Caenorhabditis elegans: one gene and its partner. The protein of the gene in region 1 interacts with the protein of each later gene in a biochemical or structural test. Each region holds a gene or a part of one and is shown in the gene's direction. Other genes may lie near its edges. The genes, in order: flp-9 and npr-22.

Evidence for each region.
Region 2: of the proteins of flp-9 (region 1) and npr-22, one has a biochemical effect on the other in vitro, tested with the Caenorhabditis elegans proteins (one study listed by BioGRID).

What each region holds. Positions count from the first base shown.
Region 1 is NC_003282.8:12,753,330-12,760,015, reverse strand, and holds flp-9 (KPSFVRF-amide 2), read left to right. Parts: upstream 1-2,445; 5' UTR 2,446-2,513; coding exon 2,514-2,576; intron 2,577-4,045; coding exon 4,046-4,153; intron 4,154-5,064; coding exon 5,065-5,202; 3' UTR 5,203-5,458; downstream 5,459-6,686. UniProt on the Caenorhabditis elegans protein: FMRFamides and FMRFamide-like peptides are neuropeptides. KPSFVRF-amide: Has no effect on somatic body wall muscle, inhibits contraction of vaginal vera muscle, and inhibits the activity of the dissected pharyngeal myogenic muscle system.
Region 2 is NC_003282.8:8,557,305-8,564,639, forward strand, and holds npr-22 (Neuropeptide receptor 22), read left to right. Parts: upstream 1-2,127; 5' UTR 2,128-2,163; coding exon 2,164-2,313; intron 2,314-2,693; coding exon 2,694-2,826; intron 2,827-2,974; coding exon 2,975-3,516; intron 3,517-3,946; coding exon 3,947-4,074; intron 4,075-4,132; coding exon 4,133-4,297; intron 4,298-4,431; coding exon 4,432-4,495; intron 4,496-5,371; coding exon 5,372-5,494; coding exon of another isoform or gene 5,495-5,537; 3' UTR 5,538-5,857; downstream 5,858-7,335. Other genes in the region: mpst-6 (thiosulfate sulfurtransferase), read right to left, coding at 6,300-6,478, 6,521-6,863, 6,913-7,293. UniProt on the Caenorhabditis elegans protein: Receptor for the LURY-1-1 and LURY-1-2 peptides which control food-related processes including feeding, lifespan, egg-laying and roaming behavior. Receptor for flp-7 which stimulates serotonin-induced fat loss.

The sequences.
Region 1 (6,686 bases):
ACGGACACGCACATCACTTTTATATTTGGAAGGAAAAAATGTTCCGTGTTTCCAAAATTAGTACCAACCGCTCTCTACTCGAAAACGGAGTATAGAAGAGGAGTTCAAAATGAAAAATTGAAGACACTTTGTCATTGGCTTTATGGGTTTGTTACTGAAGAGTAGGGGCAGCTGGAGGAGGAGGAGAACAAGAAACATCATTTTCTCGTATTTTCGACAAGGACATGCAACATTGTTCTTTCTTGCAAAAATGGGAATATTTTTTGATTTGCAAACCTCCTAATCGGCATGTTAACGGCTGAAGCGTTTTGAGGGTGTCTCTCACTCGCCCTTTTAACGGTAATCTTGTGTGTCATGTATTGTCACATATTTTAAACCATCAGTATATTTTGTGTTTTTATTATTTAATTGAATTTTTTTAAAGGTAATTTCCGGCCTAGAGTGAGGCGAGGCTGGTAAAAAACTAAAATGAAATTTCAATTCTGATTTCACGGCTGAACTTTTATCGGATCTTTTTCTGAAATTTTATAACAAAATCCCAACATCGAAAAACTTTATGTTTTTAAAAAATTGTTGAAGCTTTATCTATCCGTCTCCCGCGAAAAAAATTCCTAAGAAGTCCCGCCGCTTATTGGCTTAGCCAAATTTTTTCGTTTTTTTTTTCGATTCATATTTTAGGGCTCCCGCTGGAAATTTTTCGGAATACACTATTTTTTTGTGGTCAAAATTTGAGAACATCTGTTACTCTTTAATAAATTCTAGTTCACATAAAAAATTTGAATTGTATTCCAATCATCGTGCACTTCATTTCAATCACCCACCAGAACTCCCACCTGAATTCAATGAATACTCAGAACGAGTAGAACTTCATATTCAAATTGAATAAACTTTCAGGTTTCTTTTTTGAATACCCAAATAAAGAGATTCAAAGAGGGAGGTGTAACGGGAAGATATTTTTGGTTTTGAATCTGAATAGCTATTATTTTCAAAAAATGATCAAAATAACTTTATTTTGTTAAGGCTGATAATAGAGAAAATATTGGTATTTGGCATTGGGCACATTTTTTTATATCTAAAACTAAAAAGTTAACTTTTTTGTTACGAAATTAGATTTTTTAACATTAGGAACAATAAAGTTTGTCGGTTTTCTTTCAAGTGGACCCGCCTGCCTGTCTTTTAGTCGACATATAGGCTTGCTCTTGCCTTTGCAATTTTGTCAGTTTTCAAGAAATACTGTAAGATTTTATATTTTGAATACCTTCTTAGAATCCCAGGTTTCCTAAAATATCGTATGCGATTTAGATTAGTTTCTGAAATCACAAAAAAAAATCTCTTTACGAGTTCCTAGAGCAGTATTACCAAATATTTCTATTTCAGTGAGTATATACCTATTTACGTGGGCTTTAATGACTTTCAATTATATATTTCTGATTTGTTTTATTAGAATGGGGAAAACGAGAACTCATTGAAACAAAACACATGAAAATTGATCTTGTCAAAAATATTGCAGAAATTTGAGCAAATTGGCAAGATGTGTGGGTGATCTGCTCAAAAAATGTCCTTCTGAGAGAGAAAAAACTAAATTAAAAAGTCATCATAGGCAATTTCATTTTGTCGAGAAATACCATAAATTTTTGGCTACATTTAAAGATTTTTTTAGAAGAATTATATTTTTCTCGCGTTTTTTACCCATTTGCATGTGAATTTTAGAATGAGTTTTTTGCTATTTTTTCGAATTCTCGGCACATGGAAAAATTTGCGTTAATCAATTTTTCTTTATTTCGGTTTCGAGTTTTTTCTCCTGTTTTCCATAAAAATTATAATTTCACTGTACATTTTCCAAATATCTTTCCGATTTTTCCATTTATCAAATCATGAAAAATTTTCCGCGACATATTTAGCACCTAAAAAATATAAGACGGTTAGGCGCGAGGCGGCCAGTTAAAAAGGACTTGAAAGACGGCTTTGTGACGACCAATCTTTAAAATGTTTTCAATAACAAAACCCATAAAGGTGTATTGTCCAAAAAGATTATGACTATTTAGAGGATTATTTAAATCTGATTTTTAAAATAATTGAAGAATTATGTTATTTTTTGGATTTTTAAAAAGTTTTTTTTATACCGGTAAATTCCATTTTTCTTTCCTATTCCTCCTACAATTTGAACTACGATTTTTTCAAAATCTCAATATAAAGTAGATCCTAAATACTTCCTACAGTACCACCATATTTCCCTGAATACTTCCTGATTTTCAAATAAATCTACATAGTAAAGTGCCCCCAACCTACCGAACCCATCATTATCACTTCGAGTCTTCAAAGTGCTCACACGTCATTCTTAAATGTGTGTGTATGTGTGTGCTCAGACTCCGCCCATACGTGTGCTCTCCATTCTCTCTCAGGACTCCGCCCCCATCAAGGCTCACTTCTTTTTCTGGTCTCGTTTCCAGAGAAAAACCCAGCAGCATCGTCTGAAGAAGGGTGAAACATTTTTTGTTTCAAAGAAGAAAAAAATGAATCAATTTTATGCACTATTCCTTGTCGCCTGTATTGCAGCAATGGCAAATGCCTATGAGGTGAGTTAAGATCGGAAAAATATAAATAATCTAAGATCATATTTCTTTCCGCTTCTAAAATTTGTGTGCTGAATTTCTTGAAGCGGAAGGTTCAACTTTTTCGAAAAACGAACAAAATATTATTTGTGCCCCTCCCCCCTGTGCCACCAGGCTCGAAATGAAGCCAATCGTGTGCAAAATAATAGAAAAGGCGCCACCTATAAAATGTGTTTTCGTAAATAAATTTCAAAGTGACTTTCAAGTGTATCTTTGAATTTTTAACAGTAGGCGAATCCTGCCTATTTTTCAAATGTAGGCGTGCCTGCATGTCTGTTAATTACCTAAATTTTGGAAGGTGCTTGTGTAATATACCTGCCCCCGTGGAAATGGTTTGCATTTTTAGGCTTACATTGAAAAAACAGTATTTCTAACATAGAAAGTCTAATAAGTAAGCCTAATTTGGACCAACATGGTCATTAAAATTTTAAAAATGGCTAACATTTTTGGGGCAAAAGACATACCTCAATTTAAGCTGAATTCTGTGAATTTTATTTTTTTAATAGCCCGAATAGAATATTTGTTTTCAAACACAAGATTAGTTTATTTCTCTTCAAAGAAACGTTGAGTCTGGAACGAAATAGCTGAAAAAAAAACGAAATTCGAAATTCTAGGGCTTCGTCTCGTCATCCACTTTCCTAATAATTTGTCGCGATGATTAATTTTTGGAAGCCCATTTTTACCATTTTTAAAAGTTATTACCCCTATCGCAGAATTTAGGTGTGATGAGCATGGTCCGACAGCTACCGGGTTTCGCGCCAAATTATAAAGCATGCGTGTTTTAAGAGGTTAAAAATAGTGCGGCGCGGAACCGGGCAGTTGTCGGCCGAACTTAGAAATTTGAGATTTGTTCAGAAAATGCCACCAGGCTATCCGAATTTTTTCGAAGTTTTTTGACCTACGTGGATATCCGCGCCTTTACATTAACCAACTTAAAGTTTACATATTCTATAACTTCCTTATAGTTTCAACACCTATTTTCATCCAGTAGCAACATCCGTTTTATGTAATACTTTGAAAATGTTAAAGTGAGCCACTAATGAGCACAAGGATTACATTCTTCGTCGTCACCCTTCTCCTTTTATTTTGCTGCTTTCGATGCTTCAGAGTGATGCTCTTGTGCTCAGTCTACCGTTCAAAATCAAATTTTAAGATTCTTCTATCTCTTTTTCGTACAAAAAGTTGATTAAAGTGATGATGACATCATTCAAAGTCACGAGAAGTTTAAAATTGATTGAATAAACAAAACAAAAATCCGTAAGAAAACCTAGACATACCCTATTGGGAGATCGCAGGGCTCACGGGTTGCTCCTGCTACTGCTCGACGACAAAAATCTCATTAGTTTTTATTGGTGCGGCGGGTGTAGATTTGCGGCGTTGATTATACGTGGGAATATGTTAAATTACATACATACTTGAGCTCTATTTTTCAGGAGCCAGATTTGGATGCACTCGCCGAGTTCTGTGGAAAGGAATCGAATCGAAAGTACTGTGATCAAATTGCACAACTCGCCACTCAGCACGCAATCGGTATTAATCAGGTGAGAATGATGACGTCATACTGGGACCTTGAGATATTGGCGGCCACGGTCGCATTGACATTAATATATTCTATATTCTTGAAATAATTTTTTGAAAATTAAAGACAAACTCAAATGTAATGTCCTATTCTAAAACTATGGCCAATTCCATTTTACTTACAAAAAATTCAAATTAGCGCTCAATAAATGCGCCGACCAATCAGCGACCTTGGTCACGCCTTTTGCACGTCGCTGATTGGTCGGCGTTTCGTTTTTTTTAAATTTTAGCGGGATATATTGAAGTTTCAATAATGAAATTTATCTTCTAAAAAACACATTTTGAGGAAAATTTTCGACTGAATAACTTTTTGCACATTTTCGGAATTGGGGAGAAAAACATCTAAGAATAAAATAAGAAAAGGAGCTCCTCAAAAATTGATAAATTCCAAAAATACACGCTTCTCTGAAATGTTAAATTGTGACTAGAAGCACTGAATAATTATAAAGTTCATGTTATAGAATTAGAAAAATTATGATTTAATTTAATAAGAATATGGTAACGGCCTCAACGCGACAGAAAATGTTTTAATGGAGGCTACGAAAAGTGTATGCGCCTTTAAAACATTATTTTTTACACACTATTTTCGAGAGCCTTACTTTACATTTTTTAACGTTTCTAGATCAGAAATGCCGTTGAAAATGTTATATATTATTTGCTTTTTCAGTTAAAGGAAGTTTTAAAATTATAATTTTTGAAAAATCGTAAGAAAAACTAAAAATGGTCATCTCGTGACTTTCAAAAATAAATAAAAACGTCTCGTCTAAAAATTGCGGAATTCCCCACAACTGATAATGAGAAAATATTAATTCTGCCACCAAACCTATAACTTCTTGTATTTATCTAAACAATTCAAGAATTTTCTAATTTGCAGGAGCAAGTCCGAATGGAAAAGCGGAAGCCGTCGTTCGTCCGTTTCGGAAAACGTTCAGGATACCCGCTGGTAATTGATGACGAGGAAATGCGTATGGACAAGAGAAAGCCATCATTTGTTCGATTTGGAAGAAAGTAGATAGATATGTCTTGTTGATTATTCTGGAAACATCTTGGATCTATTTTTGATCTCTCTCTCTCTCTCACACACAGCTGCTCACTACGTTTTCTTCTCGATTGTTCCCATCTAGATTTCTGGCCCTCATACCGTTCATTCATTCTTCTCTCCCATCCCCTTACCCCTCTTCAACTTTTATGGTAACCTGAGAATTTGTGAAAATCAAAAAAAAATCAAGTTTTCATGTTGATATGTGCAATAAAATGTGTTACATGTGTGTGCGTTGGTGCCATTTGAATCAGGAAATTTTTATCATTTTTTTATTTCAAAAGGAATTGCTATTATAAAGGATTATCTCAACAAAACATAAAGATTGAGTTGTTTGCTTTTCACTGAAAAAAACTGAAAATTTGAGAAAAAAAAATCGAAAAATCTGAACTCCCGCGCAGAACAGAAAGCGTCGACCAATCAGCGACAGAGACAACGCCCCTTACGCATCGCTCATTGGTAAGCGAAATAGAGTTTGAGCCTTTAAATGTAAGGTGTACAGTAGTTTCCATTTATACATTTTTGTCTGGAAACCTAATTAAAGCATGGTGAACTAGAAAATTGCATTGCGAAATGTCTAAAAAAAAGTTTTTTTACTGCAAAAGAAATTACTGTACTCCTTAAAGGCACACACTTTTTTTTCCAAATTTTTGTGTCTATCGTTGCATTGGGTTCTCAGTTTTGTGCTCAAATAAAAATAGATTCAATCTTTCAGTGATGCCTGTAATTATTTGAACATTTTAGGAAAAATTGTATTTCTAGATAATTATTATTTTTTGAATATCCCCTTTCGTGTTTCATACCTAACAATATTCCTTCGCGCGGGAATTTAATGATCAGCAAACTTTAAAGTTTTACACACTTTAAGGATGACTTCTTTCTGAATACTTGGGAAAAACAATACTTGATACATGTGTGGGTGTTTTGGTGTCATTTAAACCAGAACATCTTTATCTCAAGTATCGTTAAAAATCTAAATTAGCTTTTTTGAAAAAGATTACTATAAGATGGATTATTTGAACAAAACATAAAGCTTAGAAAGAGCAAAAGTCGTTCAAAAAAGGATAAAAGCACATATTCCGTCATTACCCGATTCCTTTTCTTGAATAATTCACGATATGAAAACGAGAATGAAAATATGAAACACACACACACACATACCTTCCGAATTTATTTTTTATAAATTCTCTCATTTTTTGTGGATTTTGTTATGTGTCTGGGACCGATTGTGGGTTTAGGAGTTTAGTGTTAAACAAAATTTCAGCAGTCATTTAACGACAATAGCAATAGAATTTTGGCGGTCACATTGTATAGATTTCACCTAGTGACAGTTTTTCCTATGTTTGATATTTTTTCCCGAGCCGTTTCTCTCTATTTCACACCTGAATATCTAATTATTCACGAAGACAGAATATGTTTAAAACCGCGGTGTAATCGAACTCGGAAGTTTTGCGACC
Region 2 (7,335 bases), 4.2 Mb from region 1:
GCACTTGGGTTTTGAACTTTTTTAAAAATTATTCAACAGCTTTCTGAATCTGTCTTGTAATGTTTGAAACCTGATTGTGAATGAAACAAGAGTGAAGTAAAACAAAATAAATTTTAAGTTCGGAGAATTGATTATAAATGTTTATCTTTTTTTCTTTTTTGAAGGTGGATGTGGAGAAGTTGTCAAAAACCATTCCTATGATGCCAAAATGTTCAAATACAACTTTTCAAAATAAAAAGTGTGAAAATTTTTATTGACAGTTTAAAAGTGGCAATTACTGAGTTTTTGCCACTTTTTGCCATAGACGACTTCCAAAAAGCGAAGACTTTTCCAAAGTTTTGAAGCTTACTTGACATGAATGTTTTCTTATTTTCAGTCAACTTTATCTTGTTTTTTTCACAACATCGCACTACATCCAGACACATTTCTGTTGACTCAATATTAATTATTTATTATTTATTATTCATTTTGCAAGGATGTGGTGTTCTTATTCCTATTTTTATATACTTCTCCTTTTTCTTTCAGAAATTCTAGAAATTATTTTTATGCTAATTGAGATGTACATTTGAGACATTTTCATGCCGTGATGACGTAATCTATCTGAATCTTGAGATATCTATGTACATTCTTGCTAATAACGTGAAAGGTGTCATATGTACTGAGGTCTACCTTATCATTTCCTGATTATAACATCATTGAAACATATTTTAGACATATTTTAATAAATTTCAGTTTTTTTTTGTCCTATCTGGTCAATAGTTTTTTCTACAAAAAAATAGACAAATAAGAATTAAATTCAGCTAAAATTATTGAGATATAGTGTTGAAGAATACGATAAAACGACGGTAATCTTTCATTCGATTAAATTCTAGAAACCAATCGCGTATCCAAAATCTTAAATTTTTATAATTAACAGTTAGCTAGAGTTTCTTTATTGGAACATACAATTAGCACAATACAATTGGAAAACTTCGGTTTAAAGAATCTGTAACAATTTTCTTTTACTTGATTTTGTTCAAGTTTCTCAAGTTTTAGCACGTGCTCTAACCCTGCAATAAAAGTTTGTACTTTATTCAAGTATTCATATTGTACTTGTACTCTATCGTATGATCATATTACTCATGTCTAAAACTTCGGTAGACACGCATTTTTCCAACATTTTTCTTCCATAAATTCCTGTTATCTTGCAAAGTTCATTTGTAAACTAATACAACACATGTCTGGCTGATTTGACCTTTCTCATTGAAATTGATGGATCATGTGTCAAAATGGGACCACTACAGATCACTAGATACTACTATCACTATATCACTATTTAAACATGGCAGATTTCAAGAAAGTTTGCCACATTTTCAGATGAAATCATCTTATTAATTTTGATTTCGAAAACAGATATTAGCAGCCTACCTTCTGGATTTTTCGGTTACAATGTACCTATTTATTAATCAAAAACTATCACTTCTGCATTTTGTAATCATTCCCCAATCATCCTTGTGCGAAAAATAGGATAGTTCTTCAAGTTTTTCCCTTCCCTATACTTTTGCCATATATTTTTTTAATTCCCACTGGACTTTCCCAAAAGAATTATTTTTCGAATATACCACACTTTTAACAAATTTTCTGGATTCGGAAACATTATATTTTTTTTTCTACAAAACCGCAAAGACTATAGTCATTTTTCGAGGTCAACAAACATCCAAATATCATTGCGAGCATCCTATGTTCCTCTAATTCTCTCATACTTTGCTTCCGAAAACCCAAGAATCACAAAAAAATCTTGTTTGATCTTTGCCTTATTTTTCCAACTGCTAATTGACCTTCTTCGTTTATATAATTTTTCACTTTATAGAAATTTACTTTTTAATCAATTTCAAACAACAAAATTTGATACACTTTCTTAATATTATCCTTCTCCTACATTCTCATAAATTTGAAGGTTTCTCTTTCAACATTTCTGATCTAAAAAATGTGCGAGAAAATACATTCTTGGTTTCTTCATATTCATTTATTTCTCCGAAATATGTTCTCTTTTTCTTTGTTTTTAATTTTCGGTTTTCTATGAACAAGTGGTCTTCCTTATTTGGAACACTTCCCCAAACTCTTTCCGAATAAATTGTTTTAAATTTCAGATCGAACGATTCGTCATCTAATTCGTGAGCAAATATGGACGAAGGAGGGGGTATTGGAAGCAGTTTGCTCTCCAGAATCACGACGACAGCCTCTGAAATTATGATGCGAAACGAACCGACGACAACTGAAAATCCAGCTGTTCAAGAAATGAATCATATTTATCATTTGACACCAAGTATGAAGGTGAGACTTTTAAAAAATATTCTTATACATTCAAAGTATATCTAAAAATCCAAATTTTACAAGAGTTTTGAAACTTTGAAAAAAGGAACTAAAATTAGTTTTTTTTACATTTCATATTTAGGCAATTTGGCCATGTTTTTAGCCAATTTTACCTGCTGAAAATTGATTTTAACGTGCCATGTACTTTTATTTTAGTTAATTTATGATAGCGTTTTCTTCAAAACTTGAACCGTAAATAAAAAGTTTTGAAAATTTTTCAAGTGCTATCATTATTAAAATTCGGTATAATTTTTAGAGGCCATTTTAAGTGTAAAAAATGAATAAAATTACTACATTATTACCTTTAATATTTGTACCTATTTATTACTAATTTTTTACAGATGTTATGTATTCTTTTCTATAGTATACTTTGCGTATGCTGTGTCTATGGAAATGTGCTCGTTATTCTGGTTATTGTTTATTTTAAACGACTTCGAACGGCGACTAATATTTTGATATTGAACTTGGCAGTTGGTGGGTTTTGTTACTTTTGAATTTTTGAAAACTTTTTATAATTTTTCAAATCTCCAGAACTTATATGAGCTTCTAAATGGATAAGTTTAAAAAATTAATTAATCTAAGATGTTGAGCAAATTTCCCAAAAAAACAACTAAAATTGCAGCTGATCTTCTCATATCAGTATTCTGCATTCCGTTCAGCTATTGGCAAGTATTGATTTATGATGATCAACGTTGGCTCTTCGGCTCAATGATGTGCTCTTTATTAGCATTCCTTCAAGCAATGGCTGTATTTTTATCAGCTTGGACACTTGTCGTTATCAGTTTTGATCGGTGGATGGCTATAATGTTCCTTTTAACTCCAAATATTCGAATTACAAGACGAAGAGCTCTTTATCTGGTAGCTGCCACGTGGATATTCAGTATCCTAATGGCGTTGCCGTTACTCTTCACAACGAGATTTTTCGAAGACCAAGACGGTTTACCGAATTGTGGAGAAAATTGGACGTATTTTGGAGATTCTGGAGAACAAGTGAGAAAAGTGTATTCTTCAATGGTCTTAATTCTACAATATGTTGTACCTCAAGCAGTTTTAATAATAACTTACACACATATTGGAATTAAAATGTGGAATAGTCGAGTACCAGGAATGCAGAATGGAGCAACAAAGAAAATGATCGTTGATCGACATGAAAGTGTCAAAAAGGTGAGATTTCTGGAATTATTAAAAATTTAAGCCTAACCTTTCAAAAACTCCCAGTTTTGATTTATTAGAATAATAAGAATATGGAAATAATGCAACAATCAATGGCTCCTCAGTGCGGTGATGATAATAATAACCATAATCAAAGTCAACCGACCCCTATATTTATAGGAACAATATTCTCATGTGTAGCATAAAAATAATAATCAAAAATCGTTTTTGACATAACCTTTTCCAAATCATTATTAAGTGAAACTTTAAAATTGAAAAAAATTAAATCAAAGTTCGAAGTTATTACATTTTACCTGCCTATTACATGACGGTTTGATAAAGTTGTTCAGTAGATTGAAATATCGTTTTTACTTATTTTTATCAAATACAATAAATATTACCGCGTGAGAAACGAAACCTGTTAATTAAATAAGATTTTTAGCTGGTCCCAATGGTGATTCTCATTTCGGCACTCTTCGCACTTTGTTGGCTTCCTTTACTTATACTGATCAACGTCATTCCAGAATTCTATCCAGATATCAACAGTTGGGGATATATTCTGTATTTGTGGTAAGAAATATTCTTTTAATCTGACTCAATAATTTGGTTTTAAAAATCGCATTTTGAGGTGGTTTGCTCATGGACTTGCCATGTCTCATTCAATGGTCAACCCAATTATCTATTTCATTCGAAATGCCCGTTTCCGTGAAGGATTCTGTTTCTTCTCTTCAAAACTTCTTCCATGTATATCATTTAAAGAACTTCGTCTTTTAACTGATAATACTAGCAGAAGGTATGTCAATTTCTACAAAGTTGTCTGTTTTTGAATTGAAGCCAAGAGTTAGGAGCAATTCAGTTTATTTATGTATCAACCTTATTTGTTGATAACCAGTTTGATAATTTTAATAACTCAACAATATCATTCAGTTTTCGAAACCGTTCACGGTTTTCTGGTGTCATAAATCCGACTTCAAGCGATGAAAAACCTGCTGTAAGGATGTTCTCTAACCCATGTTTTTTGTCCTTCTTGACTTTTTGTTTGGCTTGGCTTTTTTATTTTTACATTTTAAAGTTTATTTTGCACTGCTTCACATGCACTAATATGTTGATTAAGTTAATTTCATTTTAAATTATGAGTATATCGTATTTCCTCTTTTAGTATTGCACACCATTGTTCAACTTTGACAGTGTATATCTCAGTTATCATTTGTTCCATTTAAAAATTGTCAACTAACAAAATATTTTTTAGTTCTTTTTCTATAATTTCGTAGTTAAAGATATAATGATATATTCAAAATAAACCGATATATAACGTTACAAAGTAAAGTTGTCCGGTGCATTACTAAGAGAGGAAATACGGTACGTTAAATTAGCAAAATTAAAAATCTTCTAAGTCAGCCTAGGTCGTTCAGCGCAGTTAATTTGCGATGGACCCATCAGAATCCTAGAGCAGTGATTTATCTACACATCGTCAAAAAAATCGGACATTGCGCATACTGCGACTCGTAAGCTGCCTATAATGAGCACATTGAGCCAGGATTGCTATGAAATCATTGTGCTTGTTTACTGAGTCATTATGTGCCTGTCGCGAATTAACTGCGAACTAAATTTTGCCACCAAATGATAGAGGGAAAACCCCTACTACTGAGAAAGTGTTTGCCGATGAAGTTTAGCGAAACCTAGAACCATAAGAACTTGTAAGTAAAACTTTAAAAACAGTTTTTAAATTCAAATGCTTTACTTCTAAACCCTTTTTATTAATTAAACGCCTCAATTATATCCACTGCCTAGTACACATTTTCCAATCTGATTATTTCCACAACATCGACTTTCTTCCTAGCCACAACCTAATTTTCAATATTTTCAGACATCGCTTACGAGATATTCACGAAGTGGAGTCCTTGACAGGCAAACATGTCGTTCGGCACGTTTCTTCGAAGCCCGACCACTCGTCGTCGTCCGAAACAACTCTGCCAATTCTCTCGCGTAGCTTTTCCCGTATCATTAAGAAAATTGATCTACCATGTACTTGAGTGGAAAGCTATAGAAGACCATAGATTCAAGGTTTTTGTTATTTGAAATTGTATTTTAAAGCATAATTTCACAAATTATGTTTATATTCCATCCATTTTATTGTATTGTAAGAAAAAACCCCTCAGATCTCCTAAGAAACAATTTTATATGAAACATCAATTGTTGTCTGAAACGCTTTTCATACCGGTAAATACTCGCCCCACCAAATCCACGAATCATCACCAATATTTTAAACTTGTACCATACAAATTGCGTGTTTTCATTTTATTTGAATATTTTTTCAAAACTAAATGTAGAAATAAATGTTAGAATACTACAAATTTACATCTGACAGATTTAAAAGAATCCAATGAGTTGACTGAAATTTTGTAAACTGGCAAATTACTGAGCAATTCAGATAAATATTTGATTGATTTCGGTTTCAAGCTTGTAGTTCCACGTGTGAAGGTTTATTTACAGAGATTCGGCATTTGTCTATTTTTAGAAGGGATGCATTTTCCGTGAATTGTATGCAAGTATTTTATTAAAGAAAAATGAAATAAGCAGTCTTGATAGGCAGACACTTATATTTAAAGTATATAGTCACTCCAGAAAACAGACAAGAAAACAATCAAAGTGAACAATTTTTATGCATTTTCATTCAATCTTTATTCTTCAATTTTCTCATACACTTCACAAAAGTAAAGCATATGAAAACCAAAAAACACAAAACACCGTCAGCGACTTGTTGTATGCAGAAATAAATCAGAAATGATTGTCACTTATCCCTTTGTGTTGAGATGTTGTGGCGCCTTGTAAGCCAACTCGTGGACTCCTCCATTGTACAGCTTGGCAACGATTCCGGAACGAGCAGCCGCGAGCCAAATAGCTGAAGCTGAGAGTCCGATTCCGCAACCAATGACAACGGTGTCTCCGACTTTGATTCCCTTGGCGGCGAAGGCTGGAAGTATTCAGTTAACTTCTGCAAATGATATCAACTAACCTTGATCACAATCAGTCTTCTTCTTGAATCCCTTGGCAGCACAAACTTCTCCGATTGGGAAGTGAATCGCATCCTTGCAACGAACACCTTCGGCTTTCGAGTCTGGATATCCAATTGGAACTTTTCCGATAAACTCTTCCTTCGAACGAGCATCCAAGTACTTGATACTAGCCAAGTTATCGAATGGAATATCAGCCATCTTGGCAAGAATGTTGTTGTCGACCGATTTAGCTTCATAGTTTCCAGATGAGATCATGCTCTCACCGGATTGAACGACACCTTGGGCAAGTTTGAATGCTTCAATACCACCGTTCAAGACAGATACGGTAGTATAACCATAGTACTGGAAACACAAAGAATTTAAATTTATTCTGATACATTTTGAAACTAACTCTGAATGTCCAGTAAGCACGAGAAGCAGCAGCCATACCACCATCTTTTCCACGTCCATAGATGACCAAATGATCTCCGTTGAATACACCCAATCTCTTAACATACGACGAGAATTCCTCTGGAGTGTACAAAGTGAACCGCTCATTCTCCGATGGATAGTATGCAATGTCAAAGTTGAAGTGAGCAGCTCCATTGATGTGCTCGGCAAGGTACTCAGGGTTCTTCAACTCATTCATTCCAACACCAAACTTGTTGTAGTACTTGGCCTTGTATTCGGCAATATCGGCTTTCGGCTTGAAGGTCCACGAGGCGTCAAGGATGCGGATGTTTCCAAAGTTTTGGACTACCCACTTCGGCTCGACAATCATATCCACAGCCATGGCTCTTCTTTCTTCAGTTGGTTGATAATCGCTGTTGTCACA